Drosophila melanogaster: one gene and its partner. The protein of the gene in region 1 purifies or fractionates together with the protein of each later gene. This does not show direct contact. Each region holds a gene or a part of one and is shown on either strand. Other genes may lie near its edges.

Region 1 (16,655 bases):
GGATCCGTGCTGCCACACCGCAAACACCAGCTCGCTAGTGGTGAAAGAGCGTTCATTTAAAACGCGATCGTACACCTTTACTGTGCGAAGGGCAACATCCTCCCAATTGTAAAGCGTTTCCACCAACTCATTACATCTATATGGACACATTACGGGCTCTGTAGAGCTGTTCTGATCCGCAGGAGGAGCAGAGACTGCTGGCAGTTGTGTAGGAGAGATAGGAGTATCGACTTTCCTGCGACGTCGCCGCTTAACCTTTCCATTAGCGTCCGAGGCCAAATGCCCATTGCCAACTGATGGACTAACCTTAAAGGAACTCTTTCGATGACGGTCGATGGCAATTAGAATCGCTGCGTAAATGGCATCAATTTCGGGCTCTGCCAGCAGTATAAGACTCTTGGGTAGCACTTCGGGAATTCCGCCCACACTGGTGGACACCACCTGCAGTCCACAGGAAGCCGCCTCAACGATGGCCATGCAGTAGGCCTCAGTCAGTGAGGTATTCAAAAAGATGTGGCCACGCACCAGGAAATCGCGAACCCTGTTATGCTCCACGGCGCCCACCATTTGAACCCTTTCCTGCATATTGGTCTTTTCGCGAATCTCCTCCAGCAGATCACGCTTAGGTCCATCGCCCACAATGATAAAGTTTATGTTGGGAGTGTTTTTGAACCGTGGAATGATGCCAGCTAGCAAATCAATGCCTTTGCGGTAGACAAGACGGGAGGCCACTACAATGTTGACTGAAAAGTAGGGATAAGTTAATTAAAAATACTACAAAACGACGAAGTCCCCATACTTATATCATTGCTCGGACGCTGTTGAGGATCGGGAGTAAACAGGGCAGTGTCGACTGCATTGGGAATGACGGAAACTCGATGTTTAGCTACTCGAGCGCGTAGAACAGTGTTCTCCTTCCCTATGTGAGATACACAGATGGCGTGATTGACCATGCCCAAGTTGACCTCCAGCAGATTGTTGGTTAGAGCGGCTGACAAGTCCGCAAAGCCAAAGAGGCTGTGATCGGTAAAGACAGTCTGCCAAACAAAAAGATGATTCATTAGCGATTTAAACTATACGTTTCGTATTGAAGATTATGCCTACCTTTAGCCCCAGGAGGGAGCCCACCATCAGTGCCTCGTGCGCCAGAGCACTGAAGGCAGAGTGGCCATGGACCACTTCCACCCGCTCACGAAGTAGCACCGCTCGCAACATCGGCACATTGCAAACAGCGGTGGGCAGTATGCACTGGTTGTAGCACACCTTAATGGGCAGATAGTAGACCTTCAGGTAGCCAGTCACATAGCGAATGCCACTGCAGTCTCCGTAGGCGTGGGTCAGCACGACGATCTAATGGGCAAAGATAGTCAGTTCAAATAATCGTTATCATTCGTGGTCCGCCCAATTGACAATAGTCACCTTGTGACCCAAGCTGAGCAACATTTGCGAAAGGTTGTAGACGTGCTCCTCGACCCCTCCGATGCTCGGATAGAAGAAGTCCGACACCATGCAGATGCGCATTTTTCACTCTTTGGGTTCTGCGGCTTCCAGTAATTTGACATACCACATATAAACAAATAAATACAATATGTTAAACAAAAATCGGCAAGCAAAAAACAACAGTGTGCACAATGGCCAAAGAGTGGTCGATGTAGTAGTGTTGAAAGGTGAAGAAAATGCTAATCGGTACTGGGGCCCAATTTCGATTTGAATATAACATTAAATTAATGTGCCACGAATATGTATAAAAGTGCTTAAAGCTTTTTCTTCTCAACAAGGCAAAAGTTTTTCCTAAAAATAGGTCTGTAGACAATGATGTACCTATTTTCTAGGTACTATAACTTTATATATTTTTTAACACTGCAAGTAGCTTTAGCAATGCTTGCGGATGCTGGTCACACTCGGCTGCAGACGTTTTTGTGTTTTGGCTGGTTTCTTCATGGCTAAATCATGCAGAATTCCAAGGCCAAAATGGACGAATTCAAGAGCAAATTCTTGGACATATTGCACAAACAGGTAGCAGATCATCGAACATTTAAATAATCCCCAAAACTAACCCCGTTGCTATGCATTCCGCCCACCAAACAAAATACTGCTCACGCACACAAAGACGAACCGTCAAATGAAAATTCCTGCCATGGGTTTTTCGGATTATTTCATTCAAACGGTGACCACAGACGCCTCCGCCAGTCAAGAAACTGATGCCACAGACGCGGCAGCCACTTCTTCCAGCGAGTCAAATGCACAAAAGTCGGACCAGGAGATCCTGGAGAGCATCGAACAGTGCTACTACAACCCCGACAGCAATCCACAGCTGTACGAACTCAAGGTAAACCAGGTAGACCAGTAAGCTGTGGCTTTAATTACCCACCACGATCTTCCGTAGAAAGTTCTCAACGATGGCATAGACAACGAGCTCATCGAGGTCACCATTGCACAATTGCGCACTCAGCAGAAGGTTCTTACCAAACAGGTGCTCCAGAACATCCTGGAGCAGCGGAATGCCTGCAGCAGTGAGTTTGCCGCTATCAATGACACGCAGAAGAAGTTGGAGGAATCGCTGTGGACATGCCAAAAGGCGAGATCCTATTTAAACTTTGCTCGCACGAACCTAACAACCACTAGCCTGGAGATCTTGGCCAGCTACCGCAAACGAGAGGTGCTCAAGGAGGTGTTGGACACCCTGGTGGCCATCAAGAGACTGGTCAGAAATGAATTGATGATTCTGTGGGCAATTTGAATAACATACAATATCTTACAGCGCACTACTGACGTGGAGGTACAGAAGCTGCTAGCGGATCACAACTACAGCGCCGCCATAGCTCTGCTCCTGCAGTGCAAGAGCTCCGCCGAGGCCTACATGCAGTTCAACTGTGTACAATCGCTCTCTAAAAAGCTGCAGGAAACCATGCTGCTTATGGAATTTCAGCTGGATACTGTGCTTAATGAAATGGTGCTAGGTTTTGATGGGCGAAAATACGCCAAACTGCAGGAGGCCTACAAATTGGCAAACAAGTCACTGATGGCCATGGACCAGCTGCACATCAACTATATTTCGGCCATTCACTCTTCTGTGAATGCAGTGCTTCGCGGTTACAGCGATCCTGGCCAGGACGATCAGGCCAAGCCGCTCTATGAGCAGCTGTGCGAACAGCTTAGCGTGGATAAGCTGCTGCCCTGTCTGATTAGTTTGTGCAAAACCTTCTGGACCATTCTGGCCTCCTACTATCAGGTTGTTATGTGGCACAATAACTACAAGTTGTATGGACAGGAGGAGGAGGATTCACCAGATATTTACATTCAGCAGAAACTGAAGAAGGGACAGTCACGCGTTTGGAATGACATTCTGACCAAAGTGTGCTTGTTCCTGCAGTCGGCAAAGTTGACGGCTCTTAAATACGATCAGTTCATCCAAGTGCTGTCCGTGGTACAAAGACTTAAGAAGGTGGGTCTGGAGTTCTGCGGCGAGCAGTCGGAGAAGTTGATCGAGACGATGCAGCAGCAGAGCGAGGAGTTCTTCCGGCGTTACCATATCTGCTGCATTGAGGAAATCTGTTTATTCTTGGATAACGAGTCCTGGACGCAAGTCGACTCATTTGCGCATATCCTGCAATTGCCTGTAAGTAATTTTAAATTGGCCATTAAAGCGACTGGTTAAGTTATCTACATGTAATTCTCTGTAGGAATTCCGATCGGTTCGGCACACTCTTCGGCGCCACAAGTCTCCGACAACTGCTTTGCTGGCCTCATCCAACAACTCCCCGATCAGCAATAATAACTGCGATGAGCTGGTTTCCGTGCACTCCCAGGATGGTGGCAGCTCCATTTACGGTTCCTACGGATATTTTCTCAGATTCTCCGAAAAAAGTTCGCCATTTGATGGTGGCTTGGATGCAGCAATGTTGGAGGAGGACATCTTATCCGGCATTGTGGACGAGGCCTCCTGTTATTTCAGCGAGGAGAGCGATGACGAGCAGAAAAGCTTGCAAAGCAAGGAGTTCGATGACGCCAGCAAGTAATATTATCTTGGTTATTATACCGCGAAATCATAATAAATGTAAATTTATTTTAGCCAGCTGCTGGTAAACAACACTGCGCTAAATGTGATGCGCGTCATTGGAAGATATCTGCAGATGTGCAAGTTATTGCACTGCATCTCTCCCAAGATTGTGGCTTGCATCCTGGAGCTCATTGACTTTTATGTCTACGCAGTGCACGAAATCTTCGGAAAAGATGCGGTAAATATTTTTATAACAATCACTTTTGAAGATATATTAATTGTTGATATTTGCAGCCGGTAGCAACGGATAATATGCACTCTCCTAGACTGGAGCAACGTTTACGCTCGGTCGAGGTTAACGTTCTGCCACAAATCAAGCTATGGCCCCTTAATTTCTCCTCTCTGGTAATATTATATGTTATTTTCCTAGAGCTTTAATTAATTAAATCATCCTTTTGCAGGCAAATAATGAGCTAGCTAATCCGGATACCTTATACGGACTGTCACAACGCATCGTGGCCGTGGAAGCGGGTCGCAGCATGCTTCAGCAGTTCAACGTCCTTCAGCACTATCTGAACCACTTGCTGCCCCTTGCAGAGCGTCCAATCCTGGCCAGTTACCTGGACTATAGCGATTATATTGCGGACTTGGCTAAACTCGTTTACACATGCGTCACGTCGCGCGTCATCGATTTGTCATCCATTCTGGCTCAGATGGCCAAGGTCAAATGGGATGTTAATCATGTGATACACCAGCACAGCAACTACAGTGATGTTCTAAATAGGGTGGGAAATGCTAAATAATGCTTAATACACTACACAAACTAACCACATTTATATGCAGAACATACAAAGCTTCGCCATGTGTCTGGAGGAAATTGCCAAGGAGGTTCCAGTGCCCAGCAAGCAAGTGTGGAATTCAATGGCCCATGTGGCCACGCATCTGCTGGTGGAGGGGTACGTTCTTATTTTCTATTTCTCAGAAGGATCTGATTTTACATAGTTATTGTTTATTATGTTATAGGTTCTCCAATGTGAAGAAATGCTCTGCCGGAGGACGAGCGCTTATGCAACTGGATTTTGCGAACTTTATGTCGTTCCTAGAGCTCATATCGAACCAAAAGTACCCACAGCATCGCTCCTATGTGGATGTGTTCATCAAGACCTACTATTTTGCGCCCGAACAGTTCGAGCAATGGATTGAACAGCAGCGTACGGGCGATGAATACTCTCTCAAGCAATTGAACAACCTTATTCATTGTATTTGTGTCAGCGATAAACGCACGCGACAAAGGTTGCTACAGTTGCTTGACGCTGGAATACAAAATGGAATAGCAATGTCAACGACGCCGACAACAACACCGCAGAAGAACAACCACGGATCCGTAGCCGGCTCAAATTTAAGCAGCGTTATCTGAGCTCCCCCGAACGATTATTTAATTGTATTTATTTTGTTATAACCCCAAACTAACTTTGTTAGTAGATCAATCTCATGACATTCTTTACGTGTAATTAACATTCCGTTTAGTTCAAATTAACATTGTGTTTAAGGCTAATGATTCTACCTTAGTTATACAGGCGATCTCCATGAAGTACTTCGTTTCAAATTTAGAATCTCCCAAACCCTCCTTAAGTGCAATCTATCCTATAATCTTTCTAATTGATAATTGGCAATTGGTTTACCATTCACCATGACTTAAGTACCTAGAGAAAACAGACATATATATATATATATGTACACACAAAACACGTATAATTAAGATACCTATTTATTTGTAATATTTATTTGCAGCAGGAAACAGACAAATAATTGTAAAACAACTTAAATGTAAGGGGCAGCGTATCGATTTGATTTGCGCGCCTCCCACGATCACACACCATTAACTATTTAGCAACTGTAACAAAATAACAAAGAATACATATTTTGAGATATGCATATTACAAACAATGCGAATTGTGTCTTATCATCGAGGGCGTGAAAAGCTTGACAAGGCATTTCCCTTCAACTTGGAGCAGTTCCCGCACAATATAAATAAAGCAGCTAAGTCTGATGGGCAACATAATTGAAAGGACATGTGGACAGTGATAACAGGAATAGTTTTATGGGCACCCGTCCTGGTTGCGGGATCCGCTGTGGACTTCATCTTTAGAGCAGCAGCGGAGCACTCGCTCTCAGTAATAATGATTCGTATTGATTATTGTCCGTACAACTGGGCAAAGGATATCTTTGAGAATCAAACCATTCCAGTGGTTGTCCTTTCAGATAGCGAGACTTTTATAAACATTCGGATGTTTTCTCGGCCGCTACACGTAGCTTGCCTGCCTGGACATGAGCTGCAAAAGGACCTGGCGTTACTCGAAAACTTTACGAGTTCGCTAATGGATTTTCCGAGTCAGAAGAAGATTGTCTATATATCAAACAATTTCTCTGATCCAACTAGAATGGACTATATTTTCGAAACGTGCTATCATCGCCGAATTTGGAACATTGTTGGACTTTTAGCTTCAGATGAACATCGTTACTTTTATAGATATCACCTATATCCTAGCTTCCGAACGGAGTATCGCTCTCTTGAATCTTCAACCATATTCGACAAGGATTTTCCCAACATGCACGGTCACCCTCTTACTGTTATGCCCGACCAATGGCTTCCGCGTTCCGTTCTCTACGTGGACAGACGAACGGGTAAGCAAATCCTAGCCGGATCTGTGGGACGCTTCTTTCACGTGCTGTCGTGGAAGCTGAACGCCACGCTGCAGCTGTCCAAGAAGGTGACCACCGGGCGCTTTCTAAATGCCACTGCCCTCAAGGAGCTGAGCGAGAGCTTTTCAGTTGATGTTCCTGCCAGTCTGACGATAATGGAGCGAGTCGAGCAGTTGGCCAGCACAAGCTATCCGATGGAGGTGACCCACGTCTGCCTTATGGTACCGGTGGCCAGAAGAATTCCAATTAAGGATATTTACTTTATCCTGAGCAGTGCTTCCAATATGTTCCTGGCTATTGTTATTGTTTCCAGTTATGGATTGGCTTTGAATCTCCTTCGAAACATGACCCATCGCGATGTGCGTCTGGTGGACTTTGTGCTAAATGATAAAGCTTTACGCGGAATCTTGGGCCAATCCTTCAATTTGCCCTTGTCGAGAAGCTTCTCCACCAGGTTGATATTTCTGATGCTTGGAATAGTGGGTCTTAATGTGAGCAGCATTTTTGGAGCGGGACTGGACACATTAATGGCTCATCCACCACGGCAATTTCAAGCACGAAGTTTCGCTGGTCTGCGTCGCACGAAAATACCATTGGTTACGACCGAGGAAGACTTTCCCACATGGATGAAACTGCGTGTGCCCATGCTGGTGGTCAATGTGAGTGAGTACAATCACTTGAGGAATGGAAGGAACACAAGCAATGCCTACTTCGCCTCCCGACTGTATTGGAATTTGTTCAGTGAGCAGCAGAAGCGCTTCACCCGAGAGCTGTTTATCTACTCCACGGATGACTGCCTGTGGTCCCTGGCGCTGCTCTCTTTCCAATGGCCGCAGAATTCCTTGTTCACAGAGCCCGTCAGCCAACTTATTTTGGAGGTAAATGCCAATGGACTCTATGACTTCTGGGTGGGAATGCACTACTACGACATGACAGCAGCTGGATTGTCCGGTCTGGAGGATCCCAGCCTGCAGTTGAAGGAAAGAGAGCACCCTACCTCGCTAAGGATTGTGGATTTTCAGTGGATGTGGCAGGCGTACGGAACATTTATGGTAATTGCGATTCTGGTATTCTTGCTCGAAGTTTCTTGGCACAGAATCACATCATTATTTGTGTCACTAGTTTATTGATCATTCACATGTTTATTGGAAAACGTGGCCAACTCTGCAACATATCAAGTTTCAAATTTAAATTTTAAAATCACTAACACTTAACAAATTAAAAATTGTGAATTAAAGAAACTAATCATCATCGAGGATTTCGATGGGAGACTTAGATTCGTTTGGATCATCAGAAATGTCCGTGTCGCTTGCAGGATTCTTAAGTTCCTCTATCTCATCTTTGAGGTCTTCTATTTGTTCTTCATACCTTCGGCGTTGAGAGGAAAGCTGTTAAATATATAGTTTATATTATATACTATTATATTATATTGTTATATTTACTAACCATAAATTCTGATTCTCTTTGCGCAATTAGTAATTTTTTCTCGCATTCGTCTTCATATTGCTTCTTGTTGTTTTGGATAATCTCCTGGTAGGTGGCAGTCAGTTCCCTTCGCAGTTTCTCCTCAAGCAGCTGCATTTGCAGCACATGATCGTACTTCAGTTGCTCAATCTCTAACTGCAGGCGCACGTTTTCGTCCTCAAGTTCCTTGGTGTAGTCGCCGCCCTCGCACGTCGACATCTTTGAGAATTCCATGAAACCACAGTAGCTGACGCGATGCTGTTTAATTACGGGCTCCTTGAAGATGATGTTCTTGGCGATGGAAGCAAAGTTCAAGACGTTCAGGTTCTCCTCGTAGTATTTATCCAGAGGGGTAACTGTCACGATCATGGCCAATTTCTCCTTGCCCAGCAAAGCAGCCTGCAACAGCATTGTTAGCTTGGAGTCGCGATATGGAATGATGTCGGCGTTTTTCTTTTTCTGAACTGTACTGGCCGCATCTAAACATCGACCCAGCACCATCAGCGACGTATTTATGTTCTTTGCTTCCTTGAGACGAAGGCCGGAGGTACCCGTGTTGTTGACGCGTTCCGAACCCGCCAGGTCGCAGAATTTGTACGAACTCTGTGTGGTGATGCCCGACCGATTGTACTTTAGTATGTCCACGGTAAAGACACAGTGCGACCGACTAGAGTTGGCGTTCACCGAGGTGGAGGCGTACGTGGAGCGCTGCTGGCCCAGCCGGAGCAGACGCAGCGCCTCCTCGCTGCTCGTCACGAAAACACTGGTCAGACCCTTGATGAACACATGGCCTTTGTTGCCCACGATCTTCAGGTTTTTTCGTGGCACCTCCCCCAGTTTGTCCTGTTTCGGCGGAATGGCTAGCAGGTCGTACACAAGTTCATTGTAGATCTCCACGAAGGACACCCAAACCAAGACGGAAACATCGGTGGAAGCCTTCGTTTCGAACATGTGGTCGCCATCAATGACCTGCTTCAGACGCTGATGGTGGGCACTGATATCCGGACATAAGTCTAAAAGTTTTTTCCGAATCTGCAGCTCTTTCAGCGAGGCGTCGTCCTGCAAGAACACGATGCTGCCATTGATTAGCTTCAGCTTGGGCGATCGGAAGACGGTGTCCTGGTAAATGGTGAATATGTTTTCCAGGGCACGCGGAATGATTCCAGCACGCACATCATCGCCTAAAAATGGATTTAAATTAACAATTGCCCAGCAAACTTGTTGCAAGTCCTCTTCGCTTACCCAGTAAGGTATACGTTTTTCCAGACCCCGATGTGCCATATGTCATAATGGTCACACATTCCTCCTCCATAATTTTGGGACCCACACAGGTATCATAGATGTCTCGCTGGCCAACGGTGCTGTCAAAGATGGAAGTGAATCCAAAGTGTTTTTCCATGCGGTTCACATTGTTGCTGGTCGAGTCCACTTTGCAGCTAGTGATCAGCACATTTGCTTCTTCCGAGACTATGTAGGCTTTGGATGCATCCTTAACGGGACGCAAGCGCAGGAAGACCTGTGGCCCCGTTTCCACGTTGCTGCTGTCTGCCGCACTGGTAGCGCATGAGGCCCCTTCGGTTGCCTCGCTCGACTGGTACTTGTACTCCGATTCCGTGTCCGAGTATTCGGAAAAACTTTCTTCCTCCGACTCCTGAATGTTGTCAAACAGACGCATCTTTTTGTTGGGTCGCGGTCGAAAGCGGCGGTCGATGGAGGGATCCCGGGCCATCAGGAAGGAGCGCACCTCCCGCCTTGGCACCTCCGAAACCTCCTTGCTGTCCATTTTGCGCTGTTTATGTGGGTTGAAGGGATACTTTTTAGTTTACTTCACTTCGCGCTATTTTTCAGACGCCAGGGGGCTGCCAACTTTACTTGAATTTCAAATGATAGCTGGCAGCTCCACTGGCTAGTGTGACCGTTGATCATTTGAATTAGCCGTTACAAAATACCATCAATAACATTTAATGTAGAAATTCAATTTTTAATAAAAAAGATAAATTTTGACAAAAAAAAATCGATAGCAACACGTTCCAGTTATTATAAATAATTTCAATTCATTCTAGTACTAGCACACATTTTTAGTATAAAAATTCATTGATTCAAACTTTATAAAATAATAAAGGCATATATGTGCAGTTAAAATCCAAATGTTACTAAAATTTAAGTTAAAAATTCACTTTAAGTCTGTTAAATTACCATGCAAATATTAAGTTCACTGACTTGATTATCGCGCATTCTCCAATTTTGCCCATATGTAAGATTAGCAGCGTCGACAAATAATTAGGTGACAAATTGCCGGCACGGCACAGCACCGGCCATTTGTTTAATGTTTGGTTAACAAGTCTGGACAGCATAACAATAACAGGCTGCGCAAATAGAGCACCCTGTCGCCAAATAAGTACTCCCTTAAAACGCAAATTAATTGGGCTTGTTTACTTTTTCCAGTCTGATTTTTTACGCCCCCTGTCTGGGAATTCAAACAAATATTGACTAAATGAGTTATAAGTAGTTGTAGAAACAATTAACAATTGTATGTACTAGACAAATATTGTAAAAAAGTGTTTAATGAATTATCAGTACGTGTGTACTTTTTCTCGCGATAATTAAAAACAGACTCAACATTTGTAGGTAATTAATTTAAAAAAATAATAAAAACTTAAAACTGGGCGCCAAAAATAATCGGGTAAATGATGAAATGAAAACCCTTTTTACAAAATATCAGCAAGCTTTTGTCAACTCAGGAACTGTCACCATCATCGCCAAGTTTTCGAACTTTTCGCAGGATTCGTAAGAAATTAAAATTGGGCGAAAAAAATAAAATTATGGAATTGATTGAAACAGCTTCGACTCCTGGAGATTCCGAAACTGAAATCGCCATCCCGGAGGCCGCTTTCGATTCCTTTAAGATGCCTATGCTACCAAGTCAGTTCCATTTGGAGAACTCCATGTCTCCGGGCTACGCCATTAAGCACTCGCTCCTCGGTCACAGTGGTTGCGTTACTGGTCTAAAGTTTAGTTCGAATGGCGAGAACTTGGTCAGCAGCTCCGGCGATAGGCTGCTTAAGCTCTGGGACTTGAGCGCAACCCGATGCATTCAATCGCTGGCCGGGCACGGAGACGGAGTCAACGATGTCGCCTGGTCGGCGGCTGGATTAATTGCCAGTTGTAGCGATGACATGACCGTGCGTCTCTGGGATGCCCGCAGCAAGCTCTGCGTCAAAGTTTTGGAGGGGCATTCCAGGTACAGTTTCTCCTGCTGCTTTAATCCGCAGGCCAATCTGCTGGCCTCCACTAGCTTTGACGAAACAGTGCGCCTTTGGGATGTCCGCACTGGCAAAACGCTCAAAATCGTCCACGCCCACCAGGATCCCATAACATCGGTGGACTTCCACCGCGATGGCAATATTTTTGTCACCAGCAGCTATGATGGGCTGGTCCGCTTGTGGGACTCTAGCACCGGGCATGTGCTGAAGACTCTCGTTGACGTTGACAACATCCCGGTCGGATATGTGAAGTTCTCACCGAACGGACGCTACATCCTGTCGTCCACATTGAACAACACCCTTAGGCTATGGAACTACAAGAAGCCCAAGTGCATGAGGACCTATCGCGGGCATTTGAATGAGTTCTATTGCTCCAACTCCAATTTTTCCACCACCGGCGGCATTTGGATTGTCTCCGGCAGCGAGGATAATACGCTTTGCATCTGGAATCTGCAGACGAGGGAGCTGGTGCAAAAGATAAGCACGGAGGGCGACCAGATTTTGAGCACACATTGCCATCCCACGGCAAATGTGATTGCTAGCGGCGCCCTACAAAATTCATATGCCATTAAAATCTGGAAGAGCAGCGAGAAGTAGTTCCAACAATCAACAAAATTCCTCCACTCATTAGCTTGTAATTATTTTCTTTATATAAATAAGCCGGCCATGTCATTAGCCAAATATTAAGGTTGTCTTTGTAATTGTTTATCAACGGACTAACAGAGCGAACATGATATGGCGGCACCGGTACCTGCGCTTGTAAATCTTATATGGCCAGAATGTGCGAACGCGATTGCTTTCGGTCTCTAAAGCCGTTGGACGACGGCGATCGGAGCGGCAGTCGCGTTTGGAGCAGCACACTGAGCGGACGCGTTAGCTCCCCGGTTTTGATTACAGCCATTGCCTTTGCATCGCAGCCGGTTTCCCTATCGTTCTCGGAACTACAGCCCGGTTTAAAGCTGGAGAGCCACCCGCGATGAGAGCCGATGAGGGTGAGTAACTGCTCCAGGGGTTTTTCCGGAAGCAGCGATCGCGGCGATCAGGGTCAATTGATTTGATGCGTTTCCAGCGATTGTGGGGGCTGTAATCGTATAAAATACGTGCCAATTCATAAAAGAGTATCTGAATGCACCTTATCTGCGTGGGGTAGCCCAGGTTGTCTGGCGATAAGATGACCAGCCCAAAGTCAATATAAAACACTGATCGACAGATGTGCGAACAAGTTGCTGCCAGGCAAGATTAGCCCCGCACGGGGAGGGGTTATCTTGGCACACTTAAATACTCCTTATCCAAGGCTTGTTTTGAATTCGCAGATAATCTGTACCGGGAGCAACTGCCCAATGTGAGCACGCTTATTAGGGATGGCGGTCGTAAGCTGTGCCGTCCGTCCACCGTGACCAACAAGTTCCCGATCCTGAAGTGGCTACCTCGTTACCGATTGGAGTACATCATGCAGGACTTTATTGCGGGATTCACGGTGGGATTAACGACTATTCCCCAGGCGATTGCCTATGGAGTGGTGGCCGGCTTGGAGCCGCAGTATGGTTTATACTCCGCCTTCATGGGTTGCTTCACATACATCGTGTTTGGTTCCTGCAAAGATGTCACAATTGGTGAGTTCAGATGTGGGGTAAATTTCTGCTATCAGTGCTAATTTCACAACATCCACTAGCCACAACCGCCATCATGGCTCTAATGGTCAACCAGTATGCCACTATCAGTCCGGATTATGCGGTTCTGGTGTGTTTCCTAGCTGGTTGCATTGTACTTCTACTTGGATTGCTCAACATGGGTGTACTGGTCAGGTTCATTTCGATTCCCGTAATCACTGGCTTCACCATGGCGGCGGCCACCACAATTGGCAGTGCCCAGATCAACAACATCGTGGGTCTGACCAGTGAGTTGCGAAATTATTTTTTTATTTTCTAGAAATTTCAAACTACCTGAAACATTGAAATGCATTGAAAATAGGTCCTTCGAATGATTTACTGCCCGCCTGGAAGAATTTCTTCACCCACTTGACGTCAATTAGGCTCTGGGATGCCCTGCTGGGTGTCTCATCTCTGGTGTTCCTGTTGCTCATGACGGTGAGAAGAAAATAAAAACGAAATTTTATTAAATTTCAATATCAATTTAAGCCAATCAACAAAATTCTTGCAGCCGCTTGATTTTGATTTCGGGTTAAAAACCTTAAGATACAGCATAAATTTGGCTCTTCAGAATTAGTTGCTTTATTAACTTAAGTTAACTTGATGGTTGCATTATATATTATATATATTATTCACTAATTTACAAATGTAATATACTTTCAGCGTGTTAAAGACATCAAATGGGGCAATCGTATATTCTGGAAGTACCTTGGTCTCTCCCGCAACGCCCTGGCTGTGATCTTTGGCACCTTTTTGGCCTACATCCTCAGTCGAGATGGGAATCAACCCTTCCGTGTCACTGGAAACATTACGGCCGGAGTACCGCCCTTCCGGCTGCCGCCCTTTAGCACCACCGTAGATGGAGAGTACGTTTCCTTTGGCGAGATGATCAGCACTGTCGGCGCATCCTTGGGTTCCATCCCCTTGATTTCGATCCTGGAAATAGTAGCCATATCGAAGGCATTTTGTAAGTATAATTTGAATTAGTTCTAAAGCCATTTATACTAAGGAATTCTAAATTTTCAGCTAAGGGAAAAATTGTAGACGCATCGCAGGAGATGGTGGCACTGGGAATGTGCAACATCATGGGCAGCTTTGTGCTCTCCATGCCCGTAACGGGATCCTTTACCCGCACGGCTGTGAATAATGCCAGTGGGGTGAAGACACCACTGGGTGGAGCTGTCACCGGTGCCCTGGTGCTCATGGCACTGGCATTCCTTACCCAAACTTTCTACTTTATACCCAAATGCACGCTGGCTGCAATTATTATAGCGGCGATGATATCGCTAGTGGAGCTGCACAAGATTAAGGACATGTGGAAATCTAAGAGTGAGTTTATGCTGATAAAGTTTTGTAGGTATTACTACTAACGCTCTGTCTTAACTTTCCAGAGAAGGATCTGTTTCCCTTTGTGGTCACTGTACTCACCTGCATGTTCTGGAGTCTGGAGTACGGAATACTGTGTGGCATCGGTGCCAACATGGTATACATTCTATATAGCAGTGCACGTCCACATGTAGACATCAAACTGGAGAAGGTGAGCTTATCCTATCTTATCTAGATGCAATTTACACTAACAAATCATATATCATCTACCAGATCAATGGTCACGAAGTTAGCGTGGTGGATGTGAAGCAAAAGCTGGACTATGCATCGGCTGAGTATCTCAAGGAGAAGGTGGTGCGCTTCCTGAACAACCAGAATGGCGAGACCCAGTTGGTGGTTATCAAGGGCGAGGAGATCAACTCCATTGACTATACAGTGGCTATGGTAAGTGGGCCGCTAAAAGCACACAATCTGATTGATAATAATGTTTGCATCCCCATATATAGAATATTGTCTCGATGAAGGGCGATTTGGAGGCACTGAACTGCGCCATGATCTGCTGGAACTGGAACATCGCCTCCGCCGGAGTCGTCTGCCGACTCAACAACGATCTCCGTCCCATCTTCAAGTTCGATTTATCGCTGGAGGAGGTGGTAGCTGGCCACTTCGATAGTCCCTCCAATACGGCCTCCACCGTAACCATCGAGGCCTGAAGAACCTAGTTTATTATAAGCTGAAAGTATTGCATCAATATCACAATTATATGAAATTTCATTTAAGCAAAGAAATCCACTTGAGTGGCGACCCTCTGTCTGGCCGAGGTGTCCAAGTGCTCTAGAATTACGTCTGGAAAGGCATATCCTTCGCGGAAACCGAGAATGATGTCATAATAGTTGGACACAGAAATTAATTGAGCCGTAACCGCAACCATTTCGGGTGACCACTTCGCAGACTGCCTGTCTGCCTACACCGTGACCTTTCTTCGAACCTTTTCATATTCATGGGGAAAGTAATTTATGACCCTACATGTATGTTAAGGCAGGCACTTCAACAATACCGTCGTGCCCTGCCAGAAAGAGAAAGGTTGAGAGAAATTCCCTATGCCGGGTAAACGAGTTCTTGGAAGTGGAAGAGACTAATCTTTATTTATTGGACTTGGACTCGGATGCATAGTTACCGAGAACCCGTTGGCCGGTAGGATCGAATGGGCTGCGCAAGTGACAGTCGGCGCGGTATTTCTTGCCCAAGATGTCCACCTCGTACTCCCCGTTCCGAATGTAATCAGCATCGATGATCTTGCCATCTGGTCGGGACACGTATGTCTGACCGAGGGACTTTCCAAGGGTATAGGCATATTCAGCTCGTCTAAGTATGCCCACGGGCTCGCCATTTCGGTAGACTCCCTCCAAACCCCAGATGGGCACCTGATCCCGGAGCGTCAAGTAGACCAGTCGCTTCTTTAGGCCCTCAGCTCGCTGATTTTCGATGGCCGCCTTGCCACGGTAATCTGCACCCGTTTTGCGACATGTGAATCCCAAGCCAGCTTCCAGGGGCGTGTCATCCGGTCGCAGATCGAAGCTCCATAGATGATAGCCTTTTTCGCTGCTGAGGGAGTAAAGGGAACGGTAGCCAGCATTGCGCAAATCCTCTCCAGCTCCCGCTTTCATCAGACTCCGATAGACGGCAGCACAATCCTTCTTGGGCACATGAAGCTCGTAGCCCAGTTCTCCCACAAAGCTGACCCGCAGCAAACGGAGACCCACATCACCGAATTTGGCTAATCGAGTGCTGTTGGGAGCTACGTGCTCATCGGACAGATCACAGTCGATGAGGGGCTGCAGGATCTTTCGGCTGTTTGGTCCTTGAATAGAAATCACACCCAATTCGGCAGTCAGATCCTTGAGGCTCGCATTGAATCCTTTTCGACGGATCTCTGCCAGCAAAACACTGTAAGTGTAGAAGGCAGAAGCGCCGCCAGCCACAATATAAAAGCCCTGGCCATTGATCTTGGGATTGTAGACCTCTCCAGAACCGGGAGCAAGGCGGGAAATGGTCACATCCGCCTCCACTCCGCCGGCATCGTTTAGAGCACAGGTGTAGACAGTTCTAAAATGGAAGTGGTAATTGTTTAGAAAGGTTTCTAAATTTGTATATCTATACATGGATCTTACTTGCTGGGATCCCTGTTGGTATTGGCGGAGAATAGCCAGTCAGCGGCCTCCTGGGCCTGTGGACCATCTAGAAGCAGCT
Region 2 (16,681 bases), on another chromosome or scaffold:
TTGCTTTAAGCTGATCGGCTAGCAGTTGTGGGAGTTGGCTGGTTGCATAGGTGGCGGATAAAGAGCCAGAGTGACCATCAAAGACGCCAAAAAAACGGGTGGTCTTGTCCAGCAGCTCGTACATTTCACCAAATCGATCCAGGCAAACACAGCGATCCTCCATTTTGCGGGGTTTGTTCTTTACAGCGGCAGATGTGTGCAGGGGTTCTTTCTGCTGGTGGCACTCGCAGTTTTCCGGCGCCGCCTCATCAGCGAAGTCCTTGAGGCGATCCACCTCCGAGTTGTCGGTGAGTTTTAGGATGTACTTCTCAAACTCACTGGCCACGAACTTCTGCAGCTTGAGAAGATCGTACTGCGGCGGACCCTCCACGGTGACTTCACACTCCTTGGCAAAGCACAGATCCTGCTCCAGCTGCTGTGTGCTTCGATGGAGTAGCTTAATCCGGAACTGCGCCGGACATCCTCGAGTCTCCAGTTGTTTCCAAATAGCTGAGACCAATTCGGCATGACGCTCCTCGCCGGACACTTTGTATGTCTCATTGGCCGTACGAGTTACACAACTCCGGCTGACCACCTCCTCGCTTACGGCTGCTGCCTTCTCCGCCGTGCTGACCAGAAATCGCTTGAATTCCATCAGGTGCGCACATTCCGATGCGGGAATCGCATCTGACGACATACTTGTCGTGGGTCGCGTGTGCCTCAGTTCCTGTTTCCGCTCCTAGTGACGCCGCGCGATCATGAGCTTATCAATGCTAATTGTTGCTCAACGATGATTCACGCGCGCACTGTGCATTTTATGATTTTTTTTTATGTTGTTATTGTTTGCGTTCTTCTATGTTATTCTGCTGCGAACTGAACTGTACTGGCTCGATAACTTTGCTATGCCTATCGAAATAGATGCGTGATATTCCCACCTACGAAGATTGTTTACCCTTCATCTTCGGTTTCATCTATTACGCTTCATTTCTCTTTTTATTTATTTTTTAATTTTGATTGAAAACCTTTAACTGCATTTGGAAACATAAAAAAAACTTCAGAAGTATTTTAAATGAAATAATAGAATATATTTATAAACATAATTTTAATCAAGCCTTTACAATAAATAACAAAAACACCTATTTAGCCTTTTTAAGGCTTCGCATGCGGACCCAGTGGAGACAAGCTATAACTGATTTGAGATAGAACGGCCACACATCCACCGGTGGCCAGCTGATTGTTACTGTTGCTTTTGTTTTTGTTACAAATTTTGATTTTTGTCTTGTTTAACAAAAAATGATAAAATCTTGAACAGTAAAGATAATCCACACAATTTACTATGAGCACGCCACTGGAACAGCAGACGGAAGAACGGGAGGCGTTGCAGTCAATATACGAGGGCGACACGAACTTCAAGGAAATAGATAGCGTCACATTTCAGTACAAAGTAAGCCACATGGATAAAAAAAAGCACACAAATATGATAATTTGTAATATAATAAATGAAATTTTAGTATGGCGAAGAGGATAACTACAAGTCGTTCTTGGTCGAGCTCAAGTGGGGCGAAAATTACCCCGATGAGGCGCCAGCGATCAACATGAACGCGTTTTACAATAGGAATCTGTAAGTGGATCGTTATTCCTTGGGAAATTGGAGCAGGTTTAGCTCTAAAGACTACGCTTTCCTATTTAACAGACTGCCAGCTGTCAAGGAAGGGATCCAAACGGCTCTGAGTACGGAAGCGGACCAATGGCTGGGCTGTGGCATGACCTATACCCTGTTCGAATGCCTTAAGGACAACCTGGAGCAATTGACCGCAGAGCAACCCGAATCTGCACCCACGGTGGCGTTAGTGGATGATGGCGTGGGTGCTCTAAAGATCTCCGATCCCAATGCCGATGCGGAGTCCAAGAAAAAGGAGCCCAAGAAGGAGCACCTGACTAAGGCGCAAAAGCGCCGGCAGTGGGAGAGAACCGATCACAAAGGAGACCGGGAACGTGGCTGGGATTGGGTGGACCTCGTCAAGCATTTATCGCAGACGGGTGGGAAAAACGATGATTCTCTCACTGCCGCCGAAATTGCAGCGTCCAACGCTCCAGCTCTCCACCCCCTGAACAACTAAAATGCCTACCAACTAAAAATAGGAGTAATAACATCGAGGAAACCTTAAATTGAAATCAAAAGCCAATACTATTTTATGTGATAGAATAAACGCGAGTAACTGCATGGGCGGCTATCATAAAGTCTATATCTTGTTTACGCTACTAACTATCAAAGGTTTCAACTTTTGATTTGGGTGAGAGGATTGGCCCTTATAAGATAACATTATCTTTAGAGGAGCAACACAGCGAAATTCCTGGGAAAACTTTATTGACATTTGTAATATTTGCGTTACATGATGGCTGCATAAAATCATAGTTTAATACAAAAGTAAAAATCAAAATCGATTACAATACCGGGATTTGCTTTGCAAGGATCAACATTGACAAGGATAACTAGCGATAAAAACGATCATTCCAACTGTGTCAAACTGGTCAGTCTAATTAAAGACGCCTTCGGCCCGGACATTTAAGGCATCCAGCAAGGAGCCCATGGGCGTGGAGGGAGCAAAGCTCTCGATGCTGTTGGTCAGCTTGTTCTTGATGTTTCGCAGTCGCAAGGAGGCGTGGATGAAGGTCAGCGAAATAGGTAGCAACACGGTGAAAATCGTCAAAAGCACTGCGCTCAGCAGATGCAGAAGAAGATAACCTCCGAGCAGAGCTCCAGCCAGTATGTACCATTTCTGTTGGGCATTCTGCTCTGCTGCATTGGCATTTCCACCAGTCAGACGACTGGCGATGAAGTTCTTCTTCGACTTTCCGCTGAAGAACTGCCAGATAACGCCTATGATCAAAGCCTGCACCAGCAGACCAGTAATAATCTTTGAAGGATTGAAGAAAATCATCAAAACGTAGATGGTAATGAAGAGCAAAAAGTAGTTTGTTTGGTAATAGAGCAGGTTCTTCACCACCCGATTGCCCCACTTCTCAAAATCCTTGAGATTGGGCAGTTGGAATCGGGCCGATCCCAGGATGAAGTCATCGAGGGTTCGCAGAGGCGGCAACTGAAGATTGCCGGACAAGGCGGCGGCTGCATCGCCCACGGAAGTGGAGGGCGTTGTCATGGTTTTTGGGTTATTGCGGATGTCCTGCTGGCTCTTGTCCTGCTGAAAGAGCTTCTGATAACTCGGTTGACGTAGGCTCCGTGCGACGTTGCGAACCTCCTCCACGTTGAGCAGATTAGAAGTCAACTGCCGAATTTTCAGCCGCAAGCCAGTGGTTGCTGATTTTCCCCTTTTCCCGGGCAGCAGACGCGTTCTCTCGTCGTCGGTGAACCAGTCGTTATTGTCCTCTTGCTCACTATTATCCTCCAATCCTCGGAATTCCAGCGTATATTCAGATTTTCACACGACTCCGTCGTGACTTTCGTGCTGACTAACAAGCAATGACTATAGGATTCTGGAGGTGGACTCGTGACTGCTGCCGTGAGGGCACTCGACGCACTTTTTAACTTTACCTTTTTTAATCAGTCGCTAGCAATTAAATTGTCAAATCAATTGACATTTCATCAATTAAAATATTACTTGAATAATAAATTAAATTTTAGGCCATAAGTACGTGAGTCGCAATAGCCCATCACCATGAGCTATCGATAGGTACAAATGGCGTTGCCACACCAAAAATTCAAAAATATATTTTGAACTTAAATTTGGTTTTTCCTTTGATATTCAGTAAACTTACGAGAAGCCCATATTTTAGAAAAGCACTTGTTTGGTGTTTTAAAGTAATATCTGTATAACTATATTTTTTATGATCAACTGTCCCGAACTTGTGTATTTGAACGTTCTCACTTTAAATGATTATTTATATCTTCAATCTAAACTCAAATTCAAATTGAATTCAAGCTCTCTGTCAAATAACAAGAATGTGCCTCTATTATTCGTTAAATAGACGGAAGTATAAGTACAGCTAACATAACAACGCATCTTAAATAAAAAGAACTAAATTGTGGTTCACGGAAATTATTCTGGAAACGATTTTTACTGATGTGTGAATGTTTGAGAAACGGGTTGGTTGATGGTGTTGGGCAGATCAGAGAATCAACCTAAACATTGTTAAACAATTATTAATATTAATGTTCATGATTAAATTAGGAATAGTTTCTCTATTTATCCTCCGACTTGGACGTTGACTACGACTACTTAAAACTTGGTTCAAGTTTTGGTAATGCGTTGCTGCTGGTAACACGATGATGCTTTCATTTGGTAGGTGGTGCTTGGTTACGCTTCCAGATCGTTAACGAACAGCACCTCGCGGTTCTTGAGTCCTACGGCCTGAAGGGTTTTGGTCAGCGTCTCCTTGGCTGTGCCTGTTTCCCCAGCGGCATCCAAGTTCGCTTTCGAGAAGAGCACGCGCTTCGGGAAATTCGTTGTGATCTCGAACTCATCCGGCGAATCGGGATGGCAGAAGAGATAGTGATAAACGTCCTGCAATAACATCAAATCATCAATCCCAAATTAGCAGTTTAAATTTGTGTAACTTACAAGCACCGAATCCGTCTGGTTAAATCGGCGCTCTAGGCGTGTTCCACTGGGCAGCTTGAATACAACTGCAATGGCGCCGACAGCATCCGCTGCCGGCTCGGATGGCACCAATGTGGCCAGCTCGATCTTTTGCCGGGCAATCTCCTCCTTGCGAAGCTCGACATCGCGTCGAGCTTGTTCCACAGCCTCCTCCGCCTGCCGGACGGCATCCCGCTCCCTTTGCCGCTGACGCTCCTTCTCCTCGTCCGCAAGCAAACTCTGCTCGTATGCCTCGTCCTGCTGTCTTCTTAAAGTCTGTGTAAAATTCCGCTCTAAGCGATCTGCACGCGCTTGACTCAGCCACACCTCGTTGGCGTTCGTCACCGACTGGAGGCGACGGAGCAGCTCTTCGGGCGTGCAATCCCCCTCGAAACGTCCGACGATCATCATGCGATTTGCTCGAAGGCTGATCATCACCATCGTTGGGTAGCTGCGCACCGTTATCGACTGCATCACCCGGTAGCCCTCCGGCGTGGCTACGTCGCATCCCCATAACAGGGTGTGTGTGTTAATGTAGTCAATGACCGATCTCGCCGACAGTGTGTTGCGGCAGAAGGATTCCACATCTGGGTTCTTGGCGGGATCCTTGTGCAGGTAAACGATTAGAAAACGCAGCTCCTGCTTAGCATCGTTAAGGGCCTGGGCATATGTGCCCTGATAGAAGACCGGGTGCTCGGGATACCTTTCGTAGTATTCCCTAATAAACTTCATCACATCCCCCAGTGGATCTGTCACCAAGCGGGCTTCGTTTCCTCCGCCCAGGTTCACAAACGCACTGACGATGCTCGTCAGCGTGGAGTAGAAGTACTGAAACACGAAGTTAATCACATATCCAATGATGCCGGTGAAGCTGCGGGGAACGGGGCCACTGGGCACCCGGCTAACCGTCCTTCCGCCAGGCATGTTGGCGGAAAACACCTGCTGCAGGAAGCGATCGTTAAGGACAGCGGGCGCTCGGACATCTGTAGAGGCGGCGAACATGGTCGGACGCCCCTCGCGGATATTTAGCTGCTCCTGGAAGGCCACCTGCATATGTAGATATGAAAAAGGGTAAATAAGCTGGTATTTAGTATAGCAGGGCGCCCAACGCAAAATTGTAAAAAACAAATTTAAAAAGAATTTAGAATAAAATGATTACTATCTTTAGTCGTCAGATAATATATATGTACAAAACTTGTTGGTAGTAGTATTCTTGCAGCCACCACTGTATGCAAGACTGCAAGACTACGTGACCCTGTTATTTTGACATTCACTGTGTGGGCATATAAACATATGCATACCTCGAGATCCCATTGGTGTCTGATTAGGACGTCGCGGCAGACGTTCATATCCTCGATGCCGGTGAGATCCTGGAACTGGAGGACCTTCTCCGTCTGTTCGTTGGTCAGTCCATCAGCTTCCATCTTTCCTGCAGTTGAAGGCCTCCGTTCCCAGTTGTTATCGTTGTTGTTTGCTTTTACGCAGTGCGTGCGTGTGTGTGCTTGTGTGGGTGCCAATGGCCCGTGACTGTCTCCCTGGTGTTGTTTTTGTTGTAAGCTGGCCTTTGTCCAGTGGCTCAGCCGCTGCGGCGGGGGACGGGGGATGAGTAGCGTGGTCACTAAATGCTTCTACTGGTCGCCAGGAGTCATTTCAACGCACGCCAAATTGCCGCACTACAACGTCTTTAACATTTCTCGGCAATTTATTTCTTTTTCGCAGGTGATTGCTTGCTCTTCTTCTTGCCTTTCTGCCAATGATCCGATGAATTTGGTTGTGAATGACTAGTGTGACCGCGCAGGCCGACGCGTTCTCACTGCGAAATCCAGCGGCAAACAAACAATTTGTGTTCGCTTTTTAAAAAATTATTTTTATTATTTATTTGATCTCTATGCCTGGCGTGGTAAAACACAGAAAAAGATTAAAAGCAATATTGATATATAATTCAAAGGTGTTAGATAAGGACAATGTGTAGTGGAATCAGCATATTTGTCTAACATCACTTGGAAAATCGACGGACGAGCTTTGGAATTTTCAGGTAATAAAGCAGCGGGCACATTCTTAAATCAGTCCGAACAAAAGCACTCAAATTTGAATTGTGTAAATATCTGAAGAAATAAATCAAAATGCATGTTATTTCCACGTCTAAAAAAACCGTGCTCTCCGACTTCGCGGATCTGGAGACAAAGTCTGAGTATGTGCACCAGAACGCAGAGCCCACGGACTTTCAGTTCAACGGCCAACGCCGGGTCTTCGTGGAGGTGGATAAAATGGCGGGCTTGGCCGTGATGCGAATAAAGGAGAAGGATGGCAAGAGTAAGAGAGAGGTGCGGATCCCCAAATCCCACGTATGTAATTAACTTCCCATTTCACAGCGCCCGAGATTCAACGAGTCCGTAAGCTCACCATCGACAATGCCTTCTGTGTGGCGTGCGCCAAGCAATCCCTGGAAGAGATCGCTGTGGGTCAGAGCGGTTGTGTTAAGCTATACAACTTTCGGACGGCACAGCTCATCCATCGTTTTCCGGCGGACCCGCAAAGGAGTACTGTCCTCTACATGGACTACAACAACACGGACGAGTATATAGCCGCCGTGCGCGATGGCGGGGACATCAGTATCTTGGGTACCAAGACCAAACAGAAGACCAACACCTTCACCATAGATGGCGAGTAAGTTAAAGGCTTGCTTGTTAAAGGATTGCATTGATCTTTCGCTATCCTGTTAATATCAGCTCTACTCTTGTGCGCTTTCATCCGAGCAAACGCTTTCATCTGTCGATCGCTTCCTATAAAGGAGCCGTGACTGTCTATGATGTGCAGGGAATGCGAAAGATTTTTCATGCCAGCGAAGCCCACAGTGCTCCCTGCCGGGACATCAGTATGTGCACATCCCAACCGGCACTGCTGGTCAGCGTGGGCTACGATTGCAAGATAAATATCTTCGACATTCGACGAAATCGTGCTCAGGCCTCTACGGATCGCTTGACCTACTCGCATCCACTATCGACGGTGGCGCTGAGTGAATGTGGCACTTATCTTTGTGCTGGAAACCTTAAGGGCGAATTAATAGCCTATGATATGAGGAGTACAAAGGCTCCGTTGGCCGTGAGGAGTGTACATGATGCGGCTGTAACACGTGTAGCCTTTGTGCCCGTGCCAAGTGGGGATAACCAGCAGAACGGTAGCCTCAACAGCTCCGAAAATGCAACTGGTTTGGCGACCGAAGCTCCTCGTGTAGAGCGTGCGCCCAGCGATGAGTTGCGTAAATCGATTGCCGCTAATTTGTTGAGCACCCAAAACCAGCTGACCAGTCTTGGTTACGGGGTGTCAACACCTACCATAGTTCGCCGGGATTCCTTTTGCGAGTTCCTGGATGCCCAAGGTCCAAGAGCTGTGGATCGCATGTCGACCCGCTTGGGCGCCTCTTACAGAGATAGTTTTGACTGGGAGACGCTCAACCGAAAACCGCAACCTTATGAAACTGCCAATCGTCAAAGTCTTTGTCCTCCAGTGGCGTCTGGCCCAAGCTCGGTGGATAACTCCGTCAACAGCTCCACCACGGAGTCACTGCAACGCAAGTTACTGTAGAGATTATTATTTTTTAGTTATAATAAGCTTATTACTTGCAGAGACCTTAAGCGGCCCACTGAAGGATCGGAGCAACATTTCCGGAGACGGAAAGCTGATGAAGATTGCCGAGACGGACGAGCTCTGCGAGGAGCAGTCTGCCAACATTTCCGTGGCCAGCAGCACAGGAGGCGGCAGCGACAAAGAGAATCCCCCGCCGGTTGACGCAGAAATGAAACGCCGTCTGCGCTTGCTTTCGGCCAGTCGAAACAGTACCCCGCACCATGCTAACATCACACCACAATCCTCAAATCCTCTCTTGAAGCCTCAGCAGTTGCTGGCCAAATCGTCAAGCGGACTTTCCGCCCAAATGGATGCAGATTGGCGCAAGGAATTCAGCGAGCTAAGAGATTTTGTAGACCAGCGCTGCGAGAAGGTGGAGCGCGAATTGGAGTACGTTACCTTCTCTAATCAGCGGCTATTGGCTAATAAGATGACCAACTACATGGACCAGCAGGTGGAAAACACAAGGGAGATCCGGGACGCCCTGGCTTTACTACTTCAAGGAGATAGCTTCATGCGCGAGTTCTCGCGCCTACAAAATGAAAACGAAATGTTAAAGGCCAAATTGAAGTTTTACCAGGAGCAGGAGCAAACTGAATCATGCGGAGAGTAAAACGAGGGGGAGACATGTTAATAATTAATTGAAACATTGTTATTATTGTATTTAATTTATTGTTATTATCAACTATTAGTAACATTTTTCAAAATAGGTTTTGGCGTCTCATGAGTTTTATGTAAATTTTAATTCGTTAATCGATCCATTTAGATATTTTACAAATGTTTTAGAATATTTACCTCGGTCTATAAAATGTTTTTGAATTCGTTATTAATATAGTGCTGCCAAAAGTGTAATGCGATAAGAAAGCTTCTTAAAATGTATTTTTTAAAACCCTTTTCACTTTCTGTACTCTAGCTTTAAGTGATCATTTTTCGGATTCGTCATGGGCATGTCCACCGATATGGTCCTGTTGAAGTTCTCGTAGTCGACAATGTAGCGCTCGTTTTGGGCGTCGTAATGGATGATATTGACGAACCGCTGGCCCCAGAAAATCTCCCTTGGCAGATAGGACGTCTTGGCCTCCGTCATCTGCGCTGTGGCAGGCGAAGTGCCCACAATGGACACATACAACTCAAATTGGGCAGCATTGAAGAGTTTCGCTGTGGTGAACTGAGACAACGGGCTGGTCTCATCGATGACATGGCACACCACATCGGGCCAGAGAATAATCTGCTCCCCATTCCCCTCCAGCTTCAGTTCCACGTGACTTTTTATAGTCTCACCCTCGCGCGTGCTGTCAGAGAAATAGATAAGATGGGGGTTCGTATTAATTGCTTGTTTTATCCAGCAGCAAGTACTATCTGAATGGAAGGTCAGTTCATTTATGACTTTCCTTATGACTGGGTCAATATTTCAGGAGTCAAGTGTGATTAAATTGTTTCTATAGCATTTATAAATATTGAAAAAAAAACGTTGAAGATCAAGACAAAATAGGAAAATATACCCAAATTAACCGCGGATTCTTAAGTTCTATGATTTTCCCTAAAATGCGACTGTGACTCACCGTTTGTCCACGATGATGTAGACTCGTATCTTGGACTCGATGGACTGCTGCTCGCGGGGATCACAGACGCGGAAGAGCAAACAAAGCCTGCCGTCGCGATAACAGATCTACGTGAGATAATCGCTAAAGGATGGATCCGAATGGTTGGGTGTACTCCTCTCGCCCAGTGGAGGCATTTTACTTACCACCGCCTTATCGCTGAACTTCAGCTTGGTCAGCTGCCTCGCCGGCCGTGCGGTCTTGGCATAGATCACGCTCACCATACAGCCCTCGATTAGGGCCGCACTCAACATCTGCATGACGAACAGGAAGATCGTCTCCGGACACTCCTCGCTGGCGTATTTTTCGCCGAATCCGAGGGTCGTCTGTGTTTCCACAGAGTATATGATCATGGCCACCCAGCTGTGCACCCCGTAGATGCAGGGATCCACGCCCTCGCCCATTCGCTTGCCACTTACCGGATCGAAGATGAAGTCACCGTGCGAGTAGGCCACCACGTAGCAGAGGGCGGCGAAGAGCAGCCAGCTGAGGAAGTAGCTGCCCAGGAACAGGGTCAGCATATACTTCCACTCCAGTTCCATCTGCGCGATTGGAAAGAAACGACCTTTATGGATTACCAATGAATGAAAATACGACCCATTTTAATATCTTTACTGTGTATCCCTTCAATTTAGCAAGTGAATATGTGGTTGGTTAATACGTATTTATTAATATGTGTGAGTATTTTAGTCGGTCATGGCTTGATCAATGTACTACAAACTATATGCTGAACGTGACGCGCTCGTTTTGGTTAGGATTAGACTTCGAAAAATGGGGACTCAGGTGCGGTGGCTCATTGGCCAGTTCATCGAGTCTGCGCTGAATACTGGGCGTTATGCTATACACATCCGATCGCGATTGATCGGCCCTGGGTGTAGACGTTTTCCTGTGTCCGAACCAGGATCTTACCAGCGTGGTGACCAGATCCCGCATGTAGCGCCATGACTTCTCCGGAATGCGGCGGAACACAACGTTCTCCTTGCCGTTCTTTTCCATCACGCGATTAAGGCTGCGTCTCAGTCCATCGGAGGAGGAAGTCCGCGGTCCGGATCCCAAATCTGGAGTAAGCTCAATCGTACTGCCCGCCCAGTCGTGTGCGTAGGGGAAACTAAACGTGGGACTTATATTATTATTTATATAAACTTGTAGGGTTTTTATAATACCAGAAAAGTTCATAGAAAATAAAGGTTTTCGTTTCTTAGTATCCATAGTCATTATAACAACTATCTGATTGGTAATTTCTTTTGCCTAAACTCAACTCACTTTTGCTCGCTGCGTGTTTCCAGGTGATCGCCGGCTGCTTTTGACCTTCTGCGCCGTACGAATCCCGGACTCTCCGGATAGTAATCGGACGCATTGACCGTCTCCTTTTCGGAGGAACGGAGCAGTGGCTTCTGCTCCAGTGGCTTGGGCTTCACCGGCATGGAGGTTGAGCGATGCATGGTTAGGGAATCCGTGGCAGCAGCTCCCAGGGGAGATGCGTCCGATTGCATGACCGGGATTCAGCTATTGCCGCCTACGTCGACGCGGAATCACTGACGAGAGCGTGGCCTATAATTGTCGGAAATTTGGGGCAATTTCACTCGAACGCGTAGATCTGCGTTTTAATTTTAATTGAATTGAATTAGGCTGCAGTGGCCCACGGCTACGATTTATAGTGAGAGCGAGAGCTCAACTTGATTGCCTGACCGCTTGACACTGACTAAGTCCGCGTCCATACTATCTGCCCCTTGAAGATGTGCATTTGGATTTATTTATTATCTTGTTCGTTGGGCATATGACAGCGGTTGTCCGCCGCCCGCCGAGATTAGTGCCTCGAAATGTGCCCCAAGATCTTAAGTAAAAGTCGGACGCTATCAGTGTATTTATTTTGCGAACGATCAAATATTGTCCTAAGTCTGGCAAATATTTCACTTTTTATACGTCGGGAGGGCAGCACAATCTTTTGCATCTGCATCTCTTGACTGGAAGTTGATAGTAGATAGTTGGTAAGATATCCGGTTGCGTTTGAATTTGCCGCCCACGTAATCGATCGAGGCACTTGTGTAAGAACATTTTAAGGACAGATAAGGATACAACTTTAAACTCTCTCTGGAAACTTTTATAATATAATTGCATTTAGTTTCCTTATTTGTGATGATAACAGTCATGTTACCTAATTTCTCAAGCTAAAAATAAAATATTAGCCCAGATTAAAAAAGAAAAATAAATCTTAAAGATTTGAATAGCTCAGATCACAACCAGACTGGTTGGGTTCAAGGCTAGATCTATGTATGTAAAATTCGTCGTAGAATCAATGTATAATTCATACAGAGAAGAGAATGTCGAATTTGAAATTCGTTTTTTTTTTATAAAACCAGACCCAGTTAAAATTGCTCTTTATTTTAATTTCAAAAACTTGTAACTTTTTATTTAAACAGTGGGCGCGTTGTTTTGTTTGTCATTACTTTTCATACACTTTTCGTCATGTCACGCTCGTATATGTACAAAAGAAATACCAATGCTTAGGACGAATCTAATAATAGTTATGCACATACGTTCATATTTATTTATATTAAAATATCTGCCAATTCTCGATTTGTACAATTCGATTTACACGTATTTGTAGAACATATAGGGGGGTTTAGGGATACATGTATATATATATATTTACAGCTAGATATTAGACATAGTTTTAGGGATCTGCTCCTCAGCTAGGTGTTAGACATACATAGTTTAGAAACCTCTTCGCCTCCATCCGGCTCCTCTGCTATAGGAAATTTGTTTGCTGAAATTGATTTTACGTAGTTAGGGTACCTCTTCCTTGATAGATGTTGTTTGGGGCGTCGTCATCGCGCTGTCTGCGGTAGTGGTGGGGAAGAGCTTGGAGGTAAGGGTCCTCTTGAGCTCCATGATCGGCTGCGAATCCTCCTCCTCTTGGTCTCTGCTGGACGATGGTGCTGCCGTGTCAGCCGTCGATGTTGCCGGCGCATGGTCCGCCTCCTCGTGCGAGGATGTGGGCGTGTCCCGCGACGAGGAGCACGAACTGGACGCCGATGTTGCGGTTGACTGATGCTGTTGCTGCTGTTGGTCGTGCTGCTGCTGTTGCTGCTGCTGCTGCTGTTGCTGCGTGACCTTGCCCATGAAGCTGCGTATCTCCTCGAAATAGGATTCCTCAGTAGGATTCTCGCAGAATCTGCGTATGCAGTGCATCCTTTCGCTCACGCCCGACAAGGCACTCAAGGACACCGCATCCGACTCGTGCTTCTTGAGGTGCCTGTCCAGATTCGTCTGTTGGCCAAAGCATCTCTCGCATATCTCACACTTGAAGGGTCGCTCCTTGTTGTGGATATTCCGCACATGGCGCTGCAGATTCGAGGATATGCTAAAGGAACGTTCGCAGTATTTGCATTTGTAGGGCTGCTCGCCCGTGTGCGTTCGCAGATGCCGCGTCAGGTTCGCCGATCTCGGAAAGACTTTTCCGCAAAACTTGCAGGTGTAGCGATCCTTGTTGCGTTGCGGCAAGTTTGGCGTGGCATTGCCCCCGGTGGCAGCTGTTCTGGCCTTGTTTTTCCTCCGCGTCTGATAGTCCTGCAGTTGCGGATGCGGCAGGACCGGCGACAACTTCGGGTTCGGATGAGGCAGCTCCAGTTGCAATTGCTCTGTGGGCGGTGGCCAGGTGAGCTCGCATTTCTTGAGCGGATGCCGGAACGGGAAATCCGCGCCCGTTGGACTACTGGAGGCCGCCGGACTGTTCACCTTGCCCGGCAAAACCCCAGCGAACACATTGCGATACTGCAAGGGCAAGTTCTTGGTCATGGCTTCTAGGAGTGTGGGATGTACGGCAGGTATCGAACATTGCGGTGGTGTTAAGGGCGGTGCGTTGGGTGGTCCACCACCGCCTCCTCCTCCTCCTCCTCCTCCGCCACCGCCACCTGCACCACCCTCTCTCAAGGCCCTCAGCATTTTGCGGCTCATATCAAAGCCCAGGTCGGCCAGCGATGCTGCGATATGGTTGTTGTTCAGCTCCTTCTCCTTTTGCTGAGCCACCGCCAGTTCACTGGCGAACATGATCAGGTTGCTGTTCTCATCCTCCATGGGTCCTTGATCCACCAGGTCCGTTTTCCGCTTGTGTGCCAACCGCAGATCCAACGGCTGATCGAAACTGCTTCTCCGCTTGCCCTTGGCATGGTGATTTAAGGTCTGGTGTTGCTGGTGGGAGTGTTGGTGCTGCAGCCGCCCAGTTGTCGTTGCCGACGTCGTCGTCGGCGACGTTGATGACGAGGATGTGGCCGCCACCGACGCTGAGGAGGCCAGATCATAAGGTACGTGTGATATATACGATGTGGGTATTAATCCTAAGGCAGGGTATACGCAGCCCTGTTTCGGGCTAGGAAGCATCTTTCTTGGTGAGTGGTCTTTCTCTCTCATAACTCTCATTAGTCGCGAACGGGCGGTAACCGAGTTTTTCCTCCGTTTTCCTGCGTTGTCTTTTTGACTTCGATTGAATAATTGATTGATTGGTGGAATGGGGGTTCGATTGATTGCCCAGGCTGCCAGGTTGCCAAGCTGTAGGTTTTAGGTTTTGTGCTCGCTTTCTCGATTTTCAATGCGTCTGATGCCAAGGATACTCAAAATGATTCTGTTTCAGAACTGCCTTCGACTTACAGTGATTATGTACCTGAAAGGAAAAGCAAAGATTTACCGATTAATAAGATTATAAGACTATTTTAAACACAAATCATATGCCTATCATCGAGGACGACACTTTAATTAGTGACAAACGAAAGGTAGGGCAAAAATTCTAGGATCATTCGTTACAAATTGGTTAAATTTCAGATAGTATGATGATTCATGATTCGTCACAAAAGTGAATTTCAAAACTTTTGTTAATGGTGCAATCGCCACAAACTTTTAATCTCGTTTATTCAAACAATTAGTTTTAAAAAGTTTGATATTAATACATAACTGGACCTTTATAAAGATATACAATGGTATATATCTATAACTTTTCATTAGACCTAACAAATTCATTCAAAAGCTTTGTTTACTTGGACCCAAAAGAAGGCAAGTGCTTGCACCCATTGCCGAAATTAAAATCTAATTCTTGCCTAATAAACCCAGTTCCCTGGTGCGTCACACAGTTCGACTTTTCGCAGCTGTGTAGATCATCGGACTATATGTTTTTTACTATCTTTATGTTTAAGGTAATTCCATGTACGTCATTAAGCGGCCTGGAGACACACCAACCCATCTAATAATAGTACAGTGCCGACTGTTCGGCAACCCAATAAACATCTTTTTGGACCATTTTCTGGTTATTTTCTTCTCTTCTCATTTTAATGGATTCTTTTGCCACAATGCCAAAAAGTTCGAAAAGGAAGGGGGCCGCCGAAATGTTTAAACAATTGTTCTATTGTCTGTTGTTTTAGGGTGGAAAAATACTTGAAAACTGACAAGAAAAAGAAGTCATGAAAATTAACAAAAACCTTAACGGTATCTAGAGTGACGATTATGTAAGACAAACAGACGGGCAGACAAACATCTAAGCACACACCTCCAAGGGGGTGGTGGGGGGAAGCCCATGGGTAGGAAGTGGGGTACAGTGGCACTTCGTGTGGAGGTCGTTCAACATCGCCTGAAGGTGCGTGCGAGGCAGAGGAAAATGCGTGGGCTTTCAAAAAGGAGGGTGGGTTACACTGCGCGAAAACAAGGACAAAGTGAGAAGATTTTAAAATTGCACAAAATCAACAAGATAATTAATCCAAATCTTTATCATTTATGAGCTGTAGCTTTATAAAATTCAAATAAGCTACGAATTAATTGAGTGCAGTAAGTCCAAGTTATATATTTCATGTTTAGTACGTATTTTTTTTTGCTGTGCATTAGCTGAAGCTCGACTCTGGGCAGATGGCACGCCAAGAATAGACCTTAAAGAGATCCCCAACTCCACGGCTCATCATGTGAACCGAACTCAACGGCAACAGCAACGGCAGGTAAAGTTGCATATTTGCAAACTGCAGCAGCAACAGCGACTGCAACAACTGCTGCAACAGCAACAACTTTAACAGACAACTTGCATTCAGGTGGGCGCGTTGATCTATGGAGCTCTGTTCTCCTATCTAGAACAGAATTTTTCATGAGACATTTTCGTGGGTTGCTGCTGTCGTCGCTGATGTGGCTGTTGTTTTTGTTGCACCTCTTGTTGTTGTTGCAGCATTTAGCGATCGTCTGGCGACAACAAATTGCCTTTTGTTGTTGTTGCTGACTGGCTGGCTGGCTGGCTGGCCGGCCGTGTTGCCAAAAAGTTAATTAGCCGCATTTGCTGCCTTTGATTTGTTGTCTGGGGTGTTATGGAGTCGAAAATGATTGTTGCAGAATTGCAATTAGAGCTTGAGAACGCGTGGAAAGATTGCAGCGTTCATAAATGCAACGATCAGGTGTTTTTTTTTATGAATCGTTTAAGATTTCGGAAGATAAAATTATACCTAACTCTTTTTGTAAAAAGTAAGTTAATTGGAATTTCAAAAGCCTGGAAATTATTTACTTTACAAACTAAGCTTTACTTTGCTAATCTAATCGGTTATCAAATATTTGCCAATTGGTTGGCATTATAAACATATTTTTCCTCTATTTGCTTAGCTGGCAAAGAAATTGTCGGTTTTTAGTCGAGCCGAAACTAGTTCGCGATCAAATTGAAGATGGCAAAATATGAAAGTTAGTATCGTCTTGAATGAATTACAGGCAATAATAAGCAAATTGGTTTTGTATGCAATTTTTTTGTAGGTTGTAACATTATACTATCACATCTTTCGTGGCTAAGGATCAAGATATATTTAACCTATTAAGTTGGAACAGTATTTTTCGCTGTAGTGAACAAGATTCTTTATAATGAAG

Evidence for each region.
Region 2: the proteins of sub (region 1) and Grip71 purify together in Drosophila melanogaster (affinity purification with western blotting, with the first as the bait; one study listed by BioGRID). This does not show direct contact.

What each region holds. Positions count from the first base shown.
Region 1 is NT_033778.4:17,738,029-17,754,683, forward strand, and holds sub (subito), read right to left. Parts: upstream 10,051-16,655; 5' UTR 9,951-10,050; coding exon 9,410-9,950; intron 9,349-9,409; coding exon 8,150-9,348; intron 8,092-8,149; coding exon 7,945-8,091; 3' UTR 7,834-7,944; downstream 1-7,833. Other genes in the region: PIG-A (phosphatidylinositol glycan anchor biosynthesis class A), read right to left, coding at 1-743, 800-1,037, 1,105-1,350, 1,420-1,521; Vps50 (vacuolar protein sorting 50), read left to right, coding at 1,951-2,016, 2,111-2,329, 2,387-2,704, 2,762-3,619, 3,684-4,015, 4,073-4,238, 4,295-4,405, 4,462-4,785 and 2 more; Ir54a (ionotropic receptor 54a), read left to right, coding at 6,073-7,833; CG10931 (uncharacterized protein), read left to right, coding at 10,990-12,027; CG5002 (uncharacterized protein), read left to right, coding at 12,407-12,422, 12,744-13,043, 13,103-13,327, 13,402-13,517, 13,743-14,046, 14,106-14,408, 14,471-14,616, 14,679-14,849 and 1 more; Sardh (sarcosine dehydrogenase), read right to left, coding at 15,548-16,511, 16,577-16,655. UniProt on the Drosophila melanogaster protein: Required during female meiosis for bipolar spindle formation in the absence of the centrosomes and chromosome homolog segregation. Also has roles in male meiosis and mitotic divisions of the early embryo.
Region 2 is NT_033779.5:18,702,238-18,718,918, forward strand, and holds Grip71 (Grip71), read left to right. Parts: upstream 1-6,608; 5' UTR 6,609-6,700; coding exon 6,701-6,890; intron 6,891-6,949; coding exon 6,950-7,244; intron 7,245-7,306; coding exon 7,307-8,148; intron 8,149-8,203; coding exon 8,204-8,817; 3' UTR 8,818-9,060; downstream 9,061-16,681. Other genes in the region: CG10376 (uncharacterized protein), read right to left, coding at 1-676; CG10343 (uncharacterized protein), read left to right, coding at 1,316-1,423, 1,491-1,600, 1,673-2,099; Jwa, read right to left, coding at 2,517-3,140; Faf2 (Fas-associated factor 2), read right to left, coding at 4,296-4,502, 4,560-5,624, 5,879-6,001; Irk3 (inwardly rectifying potassium channel 3), read right to left, coding at 9,100-9,496, 9,767-9,873, 9,952-10,347, 10,715-10,925, 11,069-11,298; CG10348 (uncharacterized protein), read right to left, coding at 12,593-14,215.